Solanum lycopersicum: one gene and its partner. Each later gene encodes a partner of the first gene's protein in a complex. Links are inferred from orthologs where the notes say so. Each region holds a gene or a part of one and is shown on either strand. Other genes may lie near its edges.

What was found. The genes of interacting proteins can lie anywhere in the genome.
Region 2: protein TIC 40, chloroplastic (region 1) and protein TIC 20-v, chloroplastic share a complex: the UniProt entries of both Arabidopsis thaliana proteins name them as parts of the tic complex. The link is inferred for Solanum lycopersicum from reciprocal best matches to the Arabidopsis thaliana genes TIC40 and Tic20-V.

Annotation. Positions count from the first base shown.
Region 1 is NC_090810.1:11,542,969-11,554,347, reverse strand, and holds the end of protein TIC 40, chloroplastic, read left to right. Parts: intron 1-2,201; coding exon 2,202-2,316; intron 2,317-2,470; coding exon 2,471-2,528; intron 2,529-2,627; coding exon 2,628-2,645; intron 2,646-3,509; coding exon 3,510-3,816; intron 3,817-5,009; coding exon 5,010-5,104; intron 5,105-5,690; coding exon 5,691-5,760; intron 5,761-6,815; coding exon 6,816-6,894; intron 6,895-7,717; coding exon 7,718-7,758; intron 7,759-8,251; coding exon 8,252-8,297; intron 8,298-9,122; coding exon 9,123-9,217; intron 9,218-9,758; coding exon 9,759-9,862; intron 9,863-10,038; coding exon 10,039-10,086; intron 10,087-10,421; coding exon 10,422-10,481; 3' UTR 10,482-10,846; downstream 10,847-11,379. UniProt on the Arabidopsis thaliana protein: Involved in protein precursor import into chloroplasts. Part of the motor complex consisting of a co-chaperone (TIC40) and a chaperone (HSP93) associated with the import channel (TIC110).
Region 2 is NC_090811.1:6,208,758-6,218,972, reverse strand, and holds protein TIC 20-v, chloroplastic, read right to left. Parts: upstream 5,109-10,215; 5' UTR 5,033-5,108; coding exon 4,439-5,032; 3' UTR 4,222-4,438; downstream 1-4,221. UniProt on the Arabidopsis thaliana protein: May be involved in protein precursor import into chloroplasts. Not redundant with TIC20-I, TIC20-II or TIC20-IV.

The DNA.
Region 1 (11,379 bases):
TTTTGTTGACTAGTAACTATAGTTAAGGGCTCAAAGTGGTTAAGCATATCAAAAATCTAATATACCATTTATAAATGTTTAACTTGGAAATTGATTGTTTTAATTTGTTGAAGAATGATCCCAATATGTAGTATGTTTTTATGTTAGGAAAAAGTTACTAATGGCCTGATGCAGTTGTCAGCTCAAGTTTCTGGATAAGATATTGTTCCCAAAATATATTATAGGATAATGGTAGAGAAAAGATTTGCAGATTGGGGAATTTTGTATTTGTTTATCAAAAAAAGATATTTGTTAAAAGATGGAAGGAAGATCTTTGCGTTTTTAACAAGGCCTTGCTAAGGAAATTGCCGTGAAGATTTAGGATAAAGGAACATGTACTATGGAGAGGTGATATCAACATACATGGATGAATGAAGCAGCATGCTCGGGTAGACTTCAAGAGTTCTAGCTATCAATGGGGTGGGGTGTTGGAGAACAAGAAACATCACGAATCCTTTTAAGTATGCCCTCTTTGCAGGAAAATTATACAGGGAAAGGAAGAGTTATGCATCTCTTTGCGGGTGGGGGATGGATGAAAGGGTAGTTTTTTGCTGGACAGGAGGTGCGAATATAACATGTTAAGGATCACTTCTCCAAAATCTAGAGTTTTTTAACTTAAAAGAGATGATACTAGATCAAGTTCTAAGATCACATGATGTGCATGTTATTTGGGATCTCAAATTTATGAAGGAAATTTTGGGATTGGGACATAGTGGAGTTCCAAAGTCTATTGAAATACTCTACAAGCAAATTTACTGGTAGAGAGCCATGACAATTGGGTGTTAGATAGCAGGAGTCTATTTTTCAGTGAAAAGTTGCTACTGTAAGGTGCTAGCTAGAGCGAAGTTGGATTTCCCTCATCTGTTTGGACGTCTAGAGCTCTTGGAAAGGCTGTTTGTTTGCTTAGAGGATGCGAATTTGACAACCAAAAACTTGAAAAGAGGAGGATTACTTATGTTAGTTAATGCTTCATGTGTGAACCCTTGTGTAGGACATGGGATATCTCTTACTACAATGCTAGTTAGCATCTAAGTTTCTCATACTCTTCACTTTCGGTGCCGCACCCGTGTCGACACAATGTGGGTGTGGGTGTGGGTGTGTCTGGTCATCTAGTTTTGGGTACTTTGACCAAATTCAAGGGAGAAATTCAGGACAGATTCAATGGTTTATATAATCAAAACAAAAGCTAAGGTGAAATTGAAGAAAATGAAATACCTTTGTATATATAGATTTCTATTGTCACTCCCTTACCTTTTATTTCCCTTCAGGATCTCCTCTTGATCAATATTTCGTCTCAAGTTCTCCACAAATTATTTCATAATTTAGGTTTTATAACTCTATTAGTTGATATTTGAATTTTTTTTAGCTAAATCTCCGCACCTGTATCCATGTATGGATTTGTATCCCCGATTCTTAATATTTTGATCATAGAGGATCTGACCTCTAGATCCACACCTGTATCAGACACCTGCACCCAATTCTGAGCAACTTAGGTTAGCATCACATTTTTGAGAGCTTTTTCTATTGTTCGGGATACAATGATTTGGGTGCTGTGAAGGATGCATTATTTAGTTGGGCCATTAGAGAAGTGAAAAGAAGATGCCAAACGTGGGATGTATCTCCAATAGTACTAGTGTGGATAGCATTACGGGAAAGACGGAGATTTGAAAGGAAAGGCACAACTTTGTATATCTGAGGGGTAACTTCCTGCTTTTGATTTACTCTTGGTGCACCTATGAGGGTTCCAATTTGTGTAGTATCATTGGTGTCTTTCGTAGCGAGTCGTATCTTCTGTTGATTCTCTACTTCTGGGAATACTTCTATGCAGAAGTGTTCTCATTGTCAATATTATTATACCTGATCAAGTAAACATAAATTATTGGATGGTTCTTGTTCATTAAATTCATTCACATCATGTTTACATGGGTAGCTTCTACAAATTCGGTATGTTTTATATCAAGCTAGACTGCCAAATTAGAGAAAGCCTGTGTTGTCGGAGTGGAAAAGATTATACATATTGAAGGGTAAAACCACTTTATCCTGGATGTAATCACTTTTCTTGTCCCAAATTTCTGATAGATTATATCATTTAGTGATCCATTGTTATATTCTTGCTAATAATTATGCTGCTGCTTACCCTTCCTTCAATGTGTTCTATGCAGTGCTGGGAAAATCAGGGAGGGGTTCTTTTGCTAGCACTACAACTTCAGGTGGCAAACAGACTTCTTCAGTTGGTGTAAATCCACAATTTTCAGCTCCATCACCACCATCTCAAGTGTAATAATTTGTATTATCCCCGATTTAATTTGAATCTTCTTGTATATAATCTAACCTATCAGTTTCTTGCTTTACATGTTTCTGTTATTGTGTTTCTATCTGCATTAGCACCTCTTGATTTGCTTACTTATTTCTTGTTATTTGTCGTCTACAGGGGGTCTCCTCTTTTTTGGATTGGAGTTGGTGTTGGTTTTTCAGCACTTTTCGCATGGGTGAGAAGGAGAATTTTTTTAATTTTATTGGTTACACTCTTGTTTCATTTTTTTTACTGACTCGTTACTTTTCACTGTTTTTTCTGAAATATATTGCAGGTGGCTTCATACCTAAAGGCAAGTACTTCTTAAGTGAGGTGTAATTATATTTTGCAGGAATCTGATGCTTATCTCACTCTGTTTCTTATAGGGCTACTATCAGAGTGGCAGCTAAGAGAATTTGGACTTTTGAGAAAATATGAATTTTAACTTATCGATAATATGACATGCACATGATGAAACATACCTCGTATGTTATGAGCAGTACTGTTAAGAGGATTGACCACATATTAAGAAAAAGGACCAACAAAGCAGATACAGAAGATAAGAATGACCATTCATCAGTTGATGGTATCTGTAATTACAAAATTAATAATGATGAGCACATCAACCTAGAATACTTCTGAAATTAACTAGGGCATCACTGTGGAATATGCTTTCGATGTTTACTAATTAAATCATGCTACGCCATCACAATCTGGTATTGAGAGGCCAGCCATTTTCTTATTTTTTTAAAAAAAACTATTTTGCTATACTTGTCTGTTCTTTTAGAGTCCGTAACTCTTGCTGTTACATTTAGTTGATTTCTTTCTTCTTGTTTTCTGTGAGTTTAAAGATAAATTCAATGGCTATCCTCCTTTTAAACACCTAAATATTTCTGCTAATGAGTCTCTGTGCATTATAGATACAATAGTTGCACAGGAAAACATAAAATAAGATTGCTTGTTTAAGGTGCCTTCTTTTTTACTCTCTATGGCGGAAAATCGTGTTTTAAACTTCTTTCATATTCTTCATGTTTCAAATGTTTTGGTTTTTAATTGTACGTGGGTATATTTCTTTGTTTCCTATGTGGAGGCCAATGAGTGCAGCTACAAAAATTCGATAAAGCCCGACCCTTCATGTGTGTTAACTATTTCTGCATGTTGTTTTCCATGCTTCCAGAAGTACGCTATGCAGCAAGCGCTCAAAACAATGATGGGACAAATGAATGGCCAGAATAGTCAGTTTAGCAACACTGCCTTTTCACCTGGACCTGGGTCACCTTTTCCTTTTCCATTCCCACCACCTCCAGTGTCCGGTCCAGCTAGTTCATCACCTCCACCACCTACTGCATCTAGCTCATCTACACCATCAGCTTCATTTGCATCTCAGCCAGTGACTGTTGATGTATCCGCAACTAAAGTGGAGGAACCTCCCACTGTCAATGTCAAAAATGATAAAGAGGCTGAAAAGGAGCCAAAGAAAAATGGTACCTAATATTTGCATTCTAAATATCATTTATATCTGGTTCTAGTACTTGTTTGTCTTTTCCTTTCATATAGAAAAACAGCAAATCTTGCAAGAAGGCATGTTCATCTAAAGCCTCTTGACATTTACCTTTGAATAGACCTTGTTAATGTCATGCTTTGATCACCCTTAACGTTGGTTTATCTCAATAAACTGAAGGATACTAGAGTATATCAGTGAGATAATTAAACTATTTTAAATGAGTGAGCTCACCACTAAATTTTAAGATTAAGCAATTTAGCTGTTGATCTTAAAAACACCAAAACATCAACCATCTACATAACATTCTTGAAGGAATTTGGAGTGTCATGATGTGATCCTTTGTGATCTTCTGAGCTTTTATATGGAAATTCATCTTTTCTGTTCTTTCTTATTTTCAAAGTATTTCTCACCCAAAACCACTTGCCATCTCTTTCATGCATAAAGTCACTATCACACAATATTGCTATGCTGGCACTCTGCAAGGGTATCCCCTAAGTTTGAATTAAGAAAAGTGTAATCCCCCCAAGTCATAGCCATTTTAATCCTAAGTATCCCTAGAAATCTAACCTCCTCATGTATCATTAGAACCCCTTGCTGATAACGGGGAGGGGAAGGCTGGTTTGGGAGAAAAGCTTACATTGAAGTGCAGGGAAACCCAATTTAAATAAAAGGAATGAGCAGGAGGAAGGTACCACTTCAATTTCTGTGAGGTTAATTCGTTTCAAGTATTTAACAAATTTTTATTTGTGTCTCGATCATCAAAAGTTTTTTTCTTTTCTTTTGCTAATCAAATAGATTACTGGCCTGACTTCCACAACAGTTCTTGACCAAAGCTAAGTTTAGACTCCACTAATATCCCAGAATAACGATCTCCTCAAAAAAGAATAGTAGGATGCTTTGCGGAAACAAAACTGATTTGTAACTTGTATCCTCCTTTGACATCTTTCTTAAATGCCAAGAACCATCGTGGACCAGTAGAAATTAATACCTGGGTTTAGTTGTAGTGGGACCTGAGCAGTTTTGTTCTAAATCATATTTACAAAAATGCTAATGCTTCCCTAGTTAGAACCACCTTTTTGCGATAGTGATACACTTTGTATTACTCTTATGAAATGTTCAGATTTTCTGGTTATGAACTCATGATATTAACTATGTGAATTAAACTTTTTGCAGCTTTTGTTGACATTTCTCCTGATGAAACATTCCAGAAGGGTGCCTTTGAAAATTTTAAGGACTCAGCTGAGACAGCTTCGGTAACTGTTGATCAGGTCGGTTGGTAGCTATTATCTGGGAATATGGTGTCGTTAGGGGTGTCAAATGGGCGCGTTGGGTTGAAATTGGAGATATTAAATGGGTTGAAATAGATATTGGGTTTGGGTCCTGACCCGCCCAAGTTTACTTTGGGTTCCAATGGGCTTAAAAACAGGTTGAGTCTTGACCCACCCAATTTTTCCCGCTTAATTCAACAATTTTAATGTATTGTTATTTAAGTTATATAACTACAATTTGAATTTCAACTAAAGAAAATTTTAAAAAAGAAGTGACAAATGGATAGATAAATCCGATAAGATATAAAATAGATAGTAATCCATACCTTTAATATAGGAACATACATTACAACAATGCAAATAAAGAGTCTTAAAACGGGTTGAAATTGGAGATTAAATTGGCCTCAATTGAGGATTCTCTTAAATGGGTTAGGACTTGAATGGGTTGGGATTGAATTCAATTGAAATTATCTTGTGCCCAACCCTCAAAATTATGGGCGGGTTACCTACAATTGTGCTCAATTTTGACACCTGTAGGTGTCGTCTAACAATTGCACTTCAATAATATTTTTTGAATCTCTATTAGGTAACTCAAAATGGAGCTGCTTCACAGTCGGGATTTGGTTCAAATACATCTGACAGTACCTCATCAACGGGTAAATCACTTGCTGGTTGGCCCTCATAGCTGTTGTACTACGAATGTCATTCAAGCATCAGGATTGGATGCATGTTCCTATCTTCTTACTCATGTTTTTATTGGTCATTTTCCTCTTTTCCTTCTTTTTCAATCATTATTTCTATGAGTTTATGAATCTTGCAATAGATAATAAAGATGGATTCATGGACATACTTCATAGCTACGTAGATCCTCCCTTTTAGCCTATTGGGTGGTTTGGAGGATGTGGTAAGCTGTGAATCATGCCCAAGGTGGTTAAACTATGAAGTGCATAATGCCCAACAAAATGAAATGAGGTTGTATGTTCCATAATCTGGTGGGGAAAATACATTCTGGGGTCTTTTTCTATTTAGGAAAAAATGGGGAGAAAGCCCAGTTTCTTGTCCAATTGCAGTATGTTTGTAGCATAATATAGATACGTAATGGTATTTTGGTGAATCTCCAGGGTGTAAGACTCCAAGAAATGGCATAATGTTAGTACTTTTTGTGTTTTCAATGCTATCCTTTTGAGTCCAACAAAAGGCTAAAGGCCGCATTATCATTGTAATGCACACATATGTATGTACAAATAAAATTTGGAAGTGGGTAAAAACTTGAAGTCAATAATCCATGTTGTAGGAGATATTGCATGAGATACAGACAAATGAGGTTCAGAAAAGAAAGATGAACATCCAGACAGAAGCTGTGACTTTGTAATGACCCGAATATTGTGTCCCGACTCCTGTGGGAACTTGAATAGAACTTCCTACATCCTAAAAAATGCTAAGTGCTCTAGCAGACATGTTTTACGAAAGAATGGCCTATTTCTTACAGATTTCATGGAACTCTCTGTCCATAAACTTGTTTTGAGGTTGGAGGTTTTGAGTGATAAATAGTCCAGCTTTATTGGTCATATCTGTTTATTAGTAAAATGTTGTGTGTAACTTTACTTGGGCCTAATTCTCCTTCATGCTTTCTTCTTATGAAAAAACAAATTGCTTCATGCTCTCTTCTCTCAGCTACAAGTAATTTTGCATGATCTGCTTTCTTGAACAGGAAAATCTAATCCTCTATTGTCGGTGGATGCTCTGGAGAAAATGATGGAAGATCCAACAGTGCAGAAGATGGTTTACCCGTAAGATAGCATCTACCTTTTCTGTTATATTCTATGAGTTGTGTTGGATTATCTTGAATATTTGCTGATATCTTTGATCACTTAGCATTCCGATTTATGATAATGGAACTCTAGTTTCAGTTACACCATGTTACTATGTACTGTGTTATAAATAAAATTGTATTGCACTTCTAATGGAATCAAAATTCTTTTGTTGAGATTTAGTTTTGAACCTCTCTAAAGCATTGCAGGGAAAATGTCATTCCATCAGTACTGTGTTTAATTGAATAGGTTTTTATAGTATGCTGTAGACTACTGTGGTAAAGATGGAAGGAAGTGAACTAATATGAGATTTGGGATGCTTAATTGATGTTTTAAAGAAGATTTTGGATGGACTCAAGAGAGCAGGACTTGGAGCATTATACCTTATTTCAGACAGATGGTAGGTAGTTAGTTGAAAATAATAAAGATGTGGAATGTACTTTTGAGAATGACTGGAAAAGTGTAATTAAGGTAACTTCGAGTTAATTGGCTAATGTATAGTCCTTATTAGAAATTTGCTTGTGCATATTAAAGTCTACTATATATTATACGGGTTTGCTACAGCGTATTCTAGTTTTTTTTTTTTTTTAAAGCTTATGGAGAAGGAAACGTTCTAATTGTTTGTTTCCTGCAAAGTATTAATCTAAAGTGACATTTCTCTTCTATGTTAAATCTATTTTGCTTTTCTTGTGAACACAACCAGACCTCTCATCTTATTCTCATGTGACATATAGTTTTTGTGTATAAACTAGTTGTGCTTTATTTTGATGAGAACTCAACCTTCTATTCTGTGTTTGTGCAGCTATCTACCCGAGGAGATGAGGAACCCTACAACATTTAAATGTGAGCTGTCATCTGAAGCACTTTCCTAGGAAATCTGAATTTTCCAGTACTCCTTTTCATAAAAAAAAATAATAATAATAAAAAAAAAATTAAAAAAAAAAAAAAACTACTGATGGATTCCTAGAAGGATGTAAATGCTGACAAGTACATCTAGTATATATTGTCTATGCTTTGCAACTTTTCTTACTAGTGTTTTTTTGCATTAGATGTGCTTAGCCAACTCATGATTCAGGTTTTAGAGTAAAATTCATTTCCTCTTTTATCATTGACTGTTTGTCTGAATTGCTATGTTGTAGGACAAATCAAGAACAAGAGTTAAATGCCATTAATTATTTATTCCTGTCCTCTTCTTATCAAAAATACTTGTCATTCTGGTTTCTTGTGACTCAACTTTACTACCTTTATGGTTCATTGCTATAAGTTTTTCAAACTCTTTTCATCTTCTTCCTCTATCAGATAAAACTAAAAGGTCTTGCATTTAATTTGATCACAGGGATGCTACAAAATCCACAATACCGTCAACAGTTGCAGGACATGATGTAAGTCTGGTTCAATTATCTTTCAAGTGCATATTTCTTTATTAAGATTACCATTCTCAAGTGCATATTTCTTTGTTCCATGCCAAAATGCATTACTTGTATATCATTTACTTTTCTAAATTTTCTGTTTGATTATCATATTTATATCAGTAGCATATCCATCCACTGAGTTTTACCATAAGCACTGTCTCAAAGGCTGTTTGGATAGGAACTTATGCCATTCATATAACTTGTTTAAGTGTTAGGAAAACTACTCTTGGTGTGACTCTGCTGTATCTGAACTGCTTCATTTTCCCCCTTCCACATACTACTTTTTGTTTACTGGAGTAACCAGTTCCTTTTGAATTTGTGCAAATGAGACCTGACTTTTTCTTCTGCCTGCATGGGGTTAAAATTCTCATCTTGAATGAGAATATTCCATTCCGATGTATGTATGACACTGGTATACACTGGACCCTAATTGGTAGTTTTCATCTTGTTGATTCTTGTCCATCTGATTGCATTTCTAGTTTAGATTAGAACAATGCAAAGCTGTAAATGATTCTTGTACACACATATCAAATGATACCAGTTATCTGTCTGGAATCAAATATTCGTTGGACTACCTACTTTGGTCAGGCTGCTCACAATTCTGCATTTTTGGTGTTGTTCGTTTCTCAGTTTGAAAAGAAAGAAATGAAAAAGAATAGAAAAGAAGAGAACATGGAAAGAAACAGACATGTTGAATCATTTGCCTTTTTTGGCTAACGAGGATTTCGTGTTAAATACTTCTCTTTTGCACCTATGAAAAACTTATCAGGGTTTCCATCATTTGCCCCATTCCAGGAATAACATGGGTGGAAACCCAGAATGGGACAACCGCATGATGGATTCCTTGAAGAATTTTGATCTCAGCAGCCCTGAAATCAAGCAACAATTTGGTAAGTTAGAGTGGTTATATTGTTCTTTTCCTGATCTATTTGCAAAAATAGTAGTGTCTGCAGCCCACTAATCTGGAGGGGGAGGGTGGGGGATAAGAGAGTCTTAGACAATAGCTGAATTCCACTGAGCATCAACATATATTTTTAATTTTCTCCATTTGATCAACAAAGTCATTACTAATACATATAGTTGAACATATGGTAATAGGTGATGGATGACTTCAACAAATACCAGAATTAGGGGTGGCGAATGTACTATTTGGGTTAATTTTGGCGGGTCAATGAATGGGTCATTGCCCAACCATGCCCAATGTTTACCTGGGCTAAGATGCGCCAAACAATGTATCATAGAACAACCAGCCCAACATGAGCACACATGTGTAGGGAAATACTAGTAAATGTTATATCAGGAGGGAGAAATCTTTTTGTAGTTATAACATGTCAGGAAGACCTCCTTTAATGGTACAAACAGTTGCTATAGCCAAAACTATCAAATGATATGATCTGTATTTTTCTTTGTTTGTTATTTTTATGGTTGCAGATCAGATAGGACTTACTCCCGAGGAAGTCATTTCGAAGATTATGGCTAATCCTGATGTTGCCATGGCTTTCCAAAATCCAAGAGTTCAAGCAGCCATCATGGATGTATGCACTTGTTGCCCCCTTTCACGCCACCCCATCCCACTTCCCACCCCCATTATATCCTCTTGAATTTGTTGAAGTTCCAAAAAGCATATATTTGAATAATCATAGAAGAGATATGACACACATTTATTATTGCTTGAAATGTTGATGCACGCTGACTTTTATTTTTATTGCAGTGTTCTCAGAATCCACTGAGTATTGCAAAATACCAAAATGACAAGGAGGTAAGAACGTAATTTCATCTTTAACATGTCTTCTTGATATATCGATCTAAATTTGAGTAAGAAGTCTGTACTTGTTATTGACTAAGTTGCATTTTGCTTCAGTAATTAATACTAGAGATCAGTAAGATGCATCAGTTAGACAGTTTTGAGTGATAACTTTTGGTTCTTACTTCATCTTATGTTTGCCCAGTATAGCACAAATTCAATGTTTACATACTCGTTACTATGATTATTATGTTGACTAAATAGACGGAGGTTCAACTGCATATTATGTTGCATGTACGTGTATATATTTGATAAATACCTAATACATATAGTTGAACATATGATTATAGGTGATGGACGTCTTCAATAAAATATCAGAACTATTCCCTGGGGTGTCAGGTGCGCCTTGATTATCTCCGTCCTGCCTAAGCAGCTATTATGTGACAACGCTGTCATTTTTGTTCTGTTTGAGTGAAGTATCAGTCAGAATTGTTGGGCTCTGAGATGTAGTTTTCGCCCTCTGTTGCAACTCGGATGCACATGAAAACGTCGCTTCCTTTATATAAATTCATTGCCCTTCTCAAATTTTGTGGATGTGAACATACTTGCCTTGGCTTACCAGTAGTCTTTAGAAGCCAATTTCAGTTGTATATTTGCCAGTTTCTTTATGGTTTTAGAGTTACTTAAGCTTATTCAACTGTATGATTTGATGAAACGGAGGAATAAAAATTTTATTTAATAATTACTTCAATTATGAAGTTATCGCTTCTAGTTACTCAGTTGAATTTTCTGGATTTTTTAATTTTAAATTCAAGTTGATTTTATATTTAAAAGAAATGGATATTTTCTTGCTTGAGGAAGTGTAAGGATGTGCAGAAGATAATAAAGGTGGATGAGAGTGAGGTGGTGCGGGGGTGGATAAGAACTAGGAAAATAAGAAGGGAGTTAGAGTGTGTTTGGTAGGAAAGGAAAATGTTTTCCCGCAAAATAAGTAGATTTTTTACTTATTTTCTCATGTTTGGTTGGTCATTAAAAATTATATTTTGAAAAAGATTTTCAGTGTATTATGAATGAAAAATATTTTTTATTTTACTAGTGCGGAAAATAATTTTTTAAAATAAATTTTATTTCTTTTGGGGGGGAGGGGGTGTGAGATAGGGTAAAATAATAAAAAATTGAAATTGAAAATATTTTTTAAAAACAAAGTTTTTTTTGGGAGGGAGTGGGGGGGGGGGGGGGGGGTTGCCGGTAGGAGTGGGTGGGGTGAAAAAAATTGAAAATATGTTTAAAAATAAATTAAAAATTATT
Region 2 (10,215 bases), on another chromosome or scaffold:
AATTAGTGGCTCCATTACTCGCCCTTCGAGCTAGGAGGAAATGCATAAATATCTTATTTTGGTAGTTGTTTATGCCTTAGTTTAAAATTTAATTTCTTATTCACATATAACTACGGACATATGGAATTGAAGTTGATAAACTTTTTGTGTTTGAAATCGCAAATTTTATATGAAATTAGTAGGTCACATACATTATTGAACTTCAATTACATACAACTGAAGTTCATATATGTTTACTTGCACTTTAGATACATGAATTAAAGTGAAATTATTTTTGTTTTTTATTTCAGCTACATACGACTAAAGTTCAATCAATTTTTTCAAATTTCGACTATCAAAACATGTACAATGATAGCACCATTATCAACAAATTAACAATTTCATTTCTCCCATCTTCAAATGACTATCTATTTTCTTGACATTTATTCGTGGAAGAATTCTACTACTATATAAAAGATGTTTTCTTCCTTGTGTTTGGAATAGAAAAACAAGAAAAAAATTACAAGTAGTATGTTTCGTTTATATTGAGGTCAGTGTAGTGAAGAGAGAGTTGGGAGAAAGAAAAAAATCTTTAACTGATTCACTACTATAAAGAGAGTAATTTTATATCGAAGAAAGGGTTTCTTTGGTGAAGTCTTGTACTCTTCAATTAATGCGGAATTGTTTGTCGCACGCGACATTGTTGGATTATTGTATATTGGAGAGGACAAGTCGAGAGTTACATTGTTAAATCTGTGTAGATTATGTCACAATGAATTTAAGTTTCTTTAAAGAGAACTAGATTCACACCTCAGTTACAATACTTTTTATATTTTATCATTTTATTTTTCAAACTATAATTTTGATTTAATTTGTGATATATGTTTATATCAACAAACCTAGCTATAACACTTGTATTTTATTCACTCAATTAGGAAGAGTACGTAGATGAGACCAAATATACTTTAAAATAAGTTATGCCCGTCAGATTAAATTATAAGAAGATTTTGTCTGAATTGGAAGGTGTACCAATAATGAGTATTGAACATGAAAATGTCCAACTAAATTTATATATATAATTTAATCTAATTGTTTTTCTTTATTTGTGTCACTTGTTTGGAATGAATGAAATATTTGACTATTATGAAATACTACCTCCGTCTCATTTTATATATCAACTTTTAAATTTCAAGAGTCAAACAACTCTATTTTTTATCGTAAATTTTTCATAGATCTATTAAACATTTTGAATTATCAATTATTGTGACTCATATTACTTTTTACGTAGTTTACAAATATATAAATCTCATTTCAAAAAAATTGAAGATTCCATGCGCAAATTTTTTCGATCAAACTTAAAATGTTTTGACTCTCAAAACATAAAATGAGACCCTTTGGGGTAGCCCAGTGGTTTGAGCTTGGGATTTCCATGTTGAAGGTCTCAAATTCGAAACTCCTTGCCAGAGAAAGCAAGGGATTTGCATTATGGATCGAGCTCGTCACACCAAACTTGTCTAGTGCGGGTTACCTCTCCTATGTGATTTGCGAGCTATTGAATAGAAGCGAAGTTTTACCCTGTGCGCACCCAAAAAGATATCAACTACGAATTTCCTTTACATAAAATGAGTCATATAAATTTGGACTGAGGAAATAGTTACTTTCTCATCAAGAGTTTGTTTAAACAAGTGGGGAATAATAAAAAAAGGTATCCAATGAACAAAACATATGTTCCATTAGCAGAACTGTTTCACCCTTTATCAAATGTATCAGATGAAAAAAAATCTATTTAGGGAGTGCCATTTCCAAATAAGACTCGTGATTCGAATTTAGTCACCGCATCAATGTAGGCTCCAAAGAAGAAAAATAAATAGGAATAGAATGAAATGAGCATCTTATATATGCCCAAATAAGAGGAGAAAGAAAATAAAAGTTGTAGCTGTCAAGTATGTCCCAAGTAATATAATGCCACGTGATTCCACTGAGGCCTCTACCGACAGGGGAAGCCAAAGCGCCGTGGCTTGTGCTAGGTTTTGCGTGTCATGGCTATCGATTTCTTTTTGCAAAGCTGCACCAAAAACTTTGTTATTAATTCCATCTTTGTTTATTACTACTATTATTTTCAATAATGGAATCTGTAAGCAATCATCCTGCCCTGCACCATTTGTCATCCCTAGAAACTTCAATTAGAAAACTTGATTCAACTTTTCATAGTCAGTCAAACCATATGGTGAACTGATGTGGTATGAGCATACTAGCACAACAATCTAATGTATTCACTAGGGAAGTTGATATATCTAATGATGTAAGAGGAAATAAACGAACACAGTTCAGGTTTATATCACTTGACTGCACCAGACTTAGCATAAGATTAGAAATGTGTATCATAATCTGTATTCATATTATAAAGTATAATGTCAGGGAAATTTTTATCTTTGGCTTCCAGAGCAGTTTGACAATAAAGCAACATAGTGCAAGTCCTATGCATCCTTGCATTAAAGAATGAGATTGCAATGAGCTTTTCCGAAACAACCTTTCAACCACACACAAGGTAGGGATTTTAGGTCTGTGTACACTCTATCCTCCTCAAAAACCTCACTTACACTGGTATGTTGTTGTTGCTGTAGATTGCAGTGACCTTTACATGAAAAAATGGAGGTGTTCCATGTGCAGAGCTTTACACTCTGCTTTGTTGCTTGATTCTATGTTGCTCGGACTCAGGAGCGAGTGCCCGACCAGAGGTCGGATCCTCTATGATCAAAATTTTTAGATCCGGGAATACGAATCCATGTATGGATATGGGTGCGGTGATTCGTCTACAAATAATTCAAAGAACTAAAAATGAAGTTATAAAACCTAAATTATGAGATATTATGTGGAAAACTTGAGGAGAAAATCTTGATCGAGAGGAGAATCCTGGAAGGAGATAAAAGGAAAGGGAGTGACAATAGAAATTTATATATACAAGGTATTCCATTTTCCTCAATTTTACCTTAGTTTTGTTTCGTGCACAGAAATCATTGACCAGCTCGGGTACATATCTCACACCCACGCCATGTCGACACCGGTGCGGTGCCAAAAGTAAAAGAGTCCAAGCAACTTAGGCTTGACTTTTTCTTGGACCTCAAAGTCCGTACGCAACAATCTCAATTTAAATGTCATAAAAACCACATACTTAATGTCAATGTAATACCTAAGAATAGATTTCAGAAAACATAATCGACATTTTTGTCATAATTTCATAATTCATGGTGGCAAAGAATGTCCACTAGCCAACCACTCAACTATTCAATCAGAAAATTGAAGTGGTGAAATCAAGTCCATTGAAGGGACAAAAGGATATCCTACAAGTAAGGAGCAAATATTTGCCTTTTGGGTTTGAGTATCAACATCTAAAATATCTTAACATCCCAACACATTTACCATCTAAAGGTTGATATGATGACCAGGTTTCCTAAATAAGAAAAAGATGCAGATTCATAAAACCTGCAGCTATTAAGAGCATTATTTCTTCCGTCCTAGTTTTAGCTTATTGTTTTTCTGTCCAAGGGTAAACTACTTTTAAAATTACTATACAACAAATGGAAGAGGTACTGGCAGAGAGGCATACTAGCATTTTACATAAAGAAGGTGTATACTAGATGCCAATACCTTTACGTAAATCATCAAAGTCTCTGTAATTAGCGAAAGCTCTAGGTTGGGGTGGAGGACATTATCCGAATTGTCTCAAAGAATAACATCAAAACCTGATACCTAACTTCCGTGTATCTCTGCATACTTGCCCTTTTCAAGATAATACAAAACGAGACCCTTACTTAAAATCATGATACAACTGGCTACTAGGATCATGAATTTCTTCCTTAAACACCAACATACCGATGATGTAACATGTTACCTCATCCAAAAACCAAAAAAAAGAATGGTGATGTAACTAACATGTTACCTAGAAATAGGGATTGAACTATCTTCATATCAAAAAATGACAGAACTTGTAGATAATATCACCACCTTTGTGGCACTCAATGGCAAGCCATCAAAGTCCATGAAGCTGGAACGAAACTACACAACACGAAAGTGCAAATCTATGCAGAGGCAATAAGATCTTCTATTTGCCTAAGTTGTAGTGGGCAGAGTCACTTGGAACAATTCCAGTTAAGATATTCCATGAAATAGTTGAGGTGTACGCCAGGACATTACGGTTATAAAAAAGAAATACCTCTATATATTTTTGTTAATGCAGATACATAGAAAAAAAGTAGTTACTTGATTAAAGAAACCGAAATGCCATTACAAGAATATACATATCCACATTAAGAAACAGCAAAATGATATGCATGAACAAGGCTCTAAAGAGCATAAACATTTACTTTCGGAACGAAATAGATATTAATTGTCAGCTAAAGCAAAACATAATTAAGTGTACAAAGAGGATGAAACCTCATAAACAAGTAAAATTACGAGTTCATAGCACTTGCCTATCAGCAGCTTCAGCAACAATAGGCAATCTAGGTAGCTGACCCAACAAGCAAGACGAAGTACCATAAACCAAAGATACCAAAAGAAACAAAAACACAGTACTATCAAAGCTCATCATCAAATCCAACCCAAACCCATCACTTGGATTGAAACTCCTCTCCAACAAATCAGGAAAAATGAGAAGCACATCAAGAACAATAGCTTGCATAGTGTTGAACCTGACATATCTACTAAAATTAGGATTTCTTACAACAATAAAGTAGAGTGTAAAGAAAACCAACAACCCGTTAAGCGGAAAGCTCTTAAAAACCCTTATAGCTGGTACTAAAGGTTGAATAAGTGTTTGTATTGGAGCAAACTGTGTGATTACATATTTACCGTACTGAACACCATCAAAGAAAGGGTAGAAGTAAGTTATGGCGGAGATTAAACGATCTGGACCATCTACTGAGTCGTCGTTCTTAGATTGAGCTCGAATTGTTGGCCTTTTAGGGTTTCTGAGTTTTGTTGAGGGTTTCAGTAGAAGAAATGGCGAGTGTTTGAGTGTAATGGTGGTGGATAAAAGATTGGTGATGGCCATTGTTGAGGATGGCCAAAGATATTTGTTTTGGGGGGGAGAAAGAATGAAAAAGGGGAAATTGGATTAGGTCAGCAGTCAATTGAAAATCCTGATGGAATTGCGGGTCGGGCTACATTGATACCATTTGAATATCCATAATTCCATATCCATTTTGGAGGAAAAATGTCTACGGGTCAAATACATACGCAAGTCTTTAAAGTTGTTCGTGTTTTTCCCAGTTACCTCAACTAATCTAGATTCCTATTGAATCTTTTAACCCCCTATAATTTGATCTTTTTAAATATTCTTGGCTAATGTGGAGCCAAACGTGATCTCACGTCCTTTAAGCGTGTGCAGACGCTTTAAAAGCGCTGATGTGGATCTTGAACCATCCACCAACGATTTTCTTCCCCCTTTTAATCCTAATTTCTCCCATTCTTCCCTTATTTCTCCTCTTTTGTTTCTCTTCATCATTATTTCTCCTCTTTAGCTCATTATATTATATCTCTTTTTCATTGATTTCTTTTTAATCATCAAGTTTCAATGTCAAATTTATCTACTTCATCGATTTCTTCTTCTTTAACTGCGAAAGTACTATGTCAATATGGGAACGTTGTGAAAATGAAGATCTCATGGACGCAATCCAATCCTGGACGTATATTCCTTTGTTGCAAAACTTCAAAGGTAAATCAAATTCACTTTTTTTTGTCCAATATAGTAAAGAATCACCTTATTTATAATTCAATTTTTTTCTTTAATTTTGTAGGCACGAGGTGGATGTGGATATTTTCGATGGTATGATGATGAAATGCCTGCTCAAGCTAGGAGGGTGATATGGGGTTTGTCGAAAATAGTCAAAACATATGAATTGGAGAGGAATCGATCAAGAAAAATATGGATGATATGCATTATCGTAGGGATGATATTGGCTACTTGGATTTGTGTAACAAAATGATCTTAGTTGGTTCATTTGTCTTCAATTAGATTCCTTCATAAAAGTATGTATGGTAGATTGTAGAGTTCTTTGTGGACAATTTTGATCGATTTTTCTATTGTAAATGCCTTGTGTTTTTATTGTAATGATTTAATTGAAGGAGTGTAGATAATTTATGCCTCAAAAGCAGTAAAAATTGATCATTCATGCCATTAATTTGCTCTAGTGAGCTTCAAGTTTCAAGCAGTCAATACAAATTTCTGCTGCTAATTACACAACCAAAAAGTGATTTTTCTACATAAATTAGGCATTCTTTGGTGCACTAGATGTTCCACGCTTGTTTTTTCTTGAATAAGTGATTTGTTTCAACTGTGAACCAGTGACAGCATCTCCACCATTCCACTTGAGTCCTCGAGGCTTATAACCAATATCAATATTTGTTGGAGCTGCATCCTTATAAACTCTCAAATTGATAATTTTTTCTCCTGAAGTACCAGCTGCATAGAAATATCTTAAAATGAGACTTTATATAGTAGAGTAAGAAATGAACAAAATTATGTATACACTTTCAAATACCATACCAAGCTCAAAAATTGCTACAACACAATCAGGATCAAATCTTACCTTTTTACTTTTTCTTCTACTTGGTAAATCAACACTCTTAACAAATTCTGGATCCAATTCATTCCTATTGTCTTTACTGTTCAATTCTGAGCTATCTATATATTGCTTCACCCCTAATCTTCCAGTGTATCTAGCAGCCTTATTCCTTCCCATGTCTTCAAAGCCTCTATTAATACCAGTTGTTCCAAGCTTTATTTCCTCAGTTTGAATAGGTTTTTATTTTTTCACTTTGTTTCTCCTTTCATTTCTAAGAGATCTTACTTCTTCATCAACCTCAGAGTCATCCACATCAGGAAAAGCATCCTCTTGAGAGTCATCACTACTTTCTTCATTTCATTCAGTCCATTCCACATCTAGATCTAATATATCCCCTGGCTCAACTTCCACATTAACATTTTCATATTTAGCCTCATTATTCAACCCTTCACTTGCAGTCACATTTATATCTTCTAAATCTTCTTCAACGACAGACCCACAAAGCAAACCCGTTGTGACCACTTCTACATCATCTACCATATGTTTCACATAAAGGTCTAAAAAGTCACCATCTTTTAGGTCTTTGATGAGATTTACTAAAGTGAAATCAGTGTCCACCTCAATAAAACCATTTTTTGTGAGGTCTTTAACACAGAATCCACCAACAATAATATACCCCAATTGTTTAGTGTAAAAAATAACTCGATTATTGAGAAGTGGTCCTTGTCGATATAAATATATTCCACCTCAGTTTTCCCTTTATAAGTAATTTCAATTTTGTCTTGAATAAACTTACCACCATGATGAAAACGAGTTATAATAATGGTGTTCATAAGATTCTCTCAAACAAAGCCCCAAAATTTTTCTAACACATTATTAATAATAAAAATTAAAAAAAAAACTAACTTTATCCAGATATTAACAACAACCACATTGATACTAAAACTCAGCATATATCAATAAAAAAACACAAGCTAAACACATATATTAAAAACACACAACCACTACAACAATAAAAATTACATAGAAATTAAGGAATGAACTTACCTCACACTCATCAACTCGGAAATCGCGAATGAACTCCAAAATCGTCTACAATCTTCGATGATTCCTTCAACAAAACACTCGAAATCACTTTAAAATCTAAGAATTTCAGCTGTAAAAGTCATTGAAAGGGAGAGATTCTTAGGGTTTTCTTGTTTAGAAACGGGTTAGAAGTGTTTTGAGGAGAAATTGATTTTTAGGTTTGATGATTTAATATATGCCACTGACGTGTAATTGGGTTGGAGTGTATTGGTCAAAATTTTCACGTGGGAAAGGTTTATCTCACGCGCCCAATTATCAAAAATAATTTATTAAAATTTGGCTCCACATCAGCCAAGAATATTTAATAGGATCAAATTATAGGGAGTTAAAGGATTCAATAGGAATCTGGGTTAGTTGAGGTATCTGGAGAAAAAGTGCAAACAACTTTAGGGACCTGCCTATGTATTTTGCCTATCTACAAATTTGTCAAGAAAATATATAAAATCATCATTTAACTTGTATCCGTTTTTTTGTAAGTACATACCTAGAGTGTGTTTGGTATGAAGGAAAACATTTTCTAGGAAATGTTTTTCAATTTCCCTATGTTTGGTTGAAACAAAAGTTTTGGAAAATGTTTTACAAATCAACTCATTTTTCTCAAAATTAAGGAAAATGACCTCCCTTCAAAAGTTAAGAAAAATATTTTCCAAATCTCTCCTCCAATTTCAAATTACTTTTTTTCTTGGGAAAAATATCAATTTTAAAAAAATATTTCAAGTTCAAAATTTTATTTTTTCAACGGTTCCTGACCCCCCCTCCCCTCCCCAAAAAATTAATTTTGCTTTTTAAAAAAATATTTTCAAATTCAAATTTTTATTTTTAAACTCTTAACACCCCCCCCCCCTGCTAGACCCCTACCAGTCCTCCACCCACTCACAACCCCCATAAAAATTAATTTTATTTTTTTAGAAATACAAGTGAGATTAGAAAAGGGAGGAGACAGGCAAGAGAGAGAGAGGGCAAAGAGTGGAGAGAGGTGAATTGTGAATGTATATCGGTTAGATAATTGTGTGTGTGTGTGTGTGTGTGTGTGTATATATATATATATATATATATATATATATATATCAATTATTGCATTTATATATCTGCATATAATTGAATTGAGTTAAAATATTTGTATTTGTATATTCAACAAAGTGAGAGAGAAAGACAAAAGAGAACAGAGCAATGGAGGATTTGTATTTATATGATTATAAGTGTATAGGGCGGAGAAATTATGTATTTATATTTTAATATCTTGTCTTTTTCGCTTTATGCAAACACAATTATACATTTGTGTTTATATGAAGTGAGAGAGATTGACATAAGAGAAGAGAGAGAGACTAGGCAGGGAGAGGAGAGAGGCAAGGAAGCGATGACTGAAAAAAAGAGTAACGAGTGAGATCATAGAGAGAGGAGGGGTGAGAGAGAGAGAGAGACAGGAGAGAAAACGTAATTATATATAGAATTAAGTTTCGAATTGTAATTATTGCAAATATAACTATGTTAGCTAATTAACTAGTATACGTTTGCTTAACCACGTAATTTCCCTAAAAAAATTTTATGTTATTATGGAAAAACTACATAAATGGACCATAAAATTCAAAATAGTTACATGTTCATACCTCAATCCGAAGTAATTCAAGAAATATTCATTCTCTCAAAAAAGTCACAACTCATACTCCTCATTCATTAAGGTTGATAATTTCCGCTTAACTCATACTAAATTCGTATAGTATATTGTATCGATTTCATTGACTAATGATCAATATCTGAACAAGAAAGCTTAATGATACCATAAAAATTATCATTATCTAATCAATATACATTATGGTAGAGGGTGGGGGTGGGGAGTGAAGTAAGATTTTTTTAAAAACATTATAAAATTTTTTTATAATAAAAACTTATGGGGGAGAAGGTGGTGGACTGTCGTAAGAAAAATGTTTTAATTTTTTTTTTAAAATCAAAATTGTGGGATAATGATAGTTTAATTTTTAACTAATACTAATAATTTATTTATTTTTTGTCAAGTTGAAATAATTTAACCATTTGATTGTCAGGTGATAAGAATTGTATTACATATAATTGAATTGTGTTTCTCAAACTAATCAGAAAGGGACAGAACTTTCATCGAGCAATGAGTGTCAAGCGGCACCCCTTCACCCATTTATCTATACATATGTCAAAATTAGAATTGTGTCAAAACGAGCTTAACCTATGGCCGGCCCAACCCAACCCATTATTAGGATAGGTTTGGAATATATTTTTTCGAGCTCATTTAAAACTAGGGCTTATAAGCTCGACTTATATAAGCCCTTGGCCCTTGAGACTTGATTGACACAGGATCGGGTTCGGCCCACAGGCTAAGACTTTTTATTTAAGGGTAACTCACAATAATTTCACTAACATATAATCTAATTACTTAAGTACACACTATGTTGTAACATTATGAATCTTACGAGATTTTGGTATGTCCAGATACATGTATCTCGAAATATATGGACTGAAAATTAGTTAATTTGTTATAGATACACTCTATCCAAGTAGATACACATGTATCTAAGATACATATACAAATCTCACGCCCTCACTTCCTCCTATC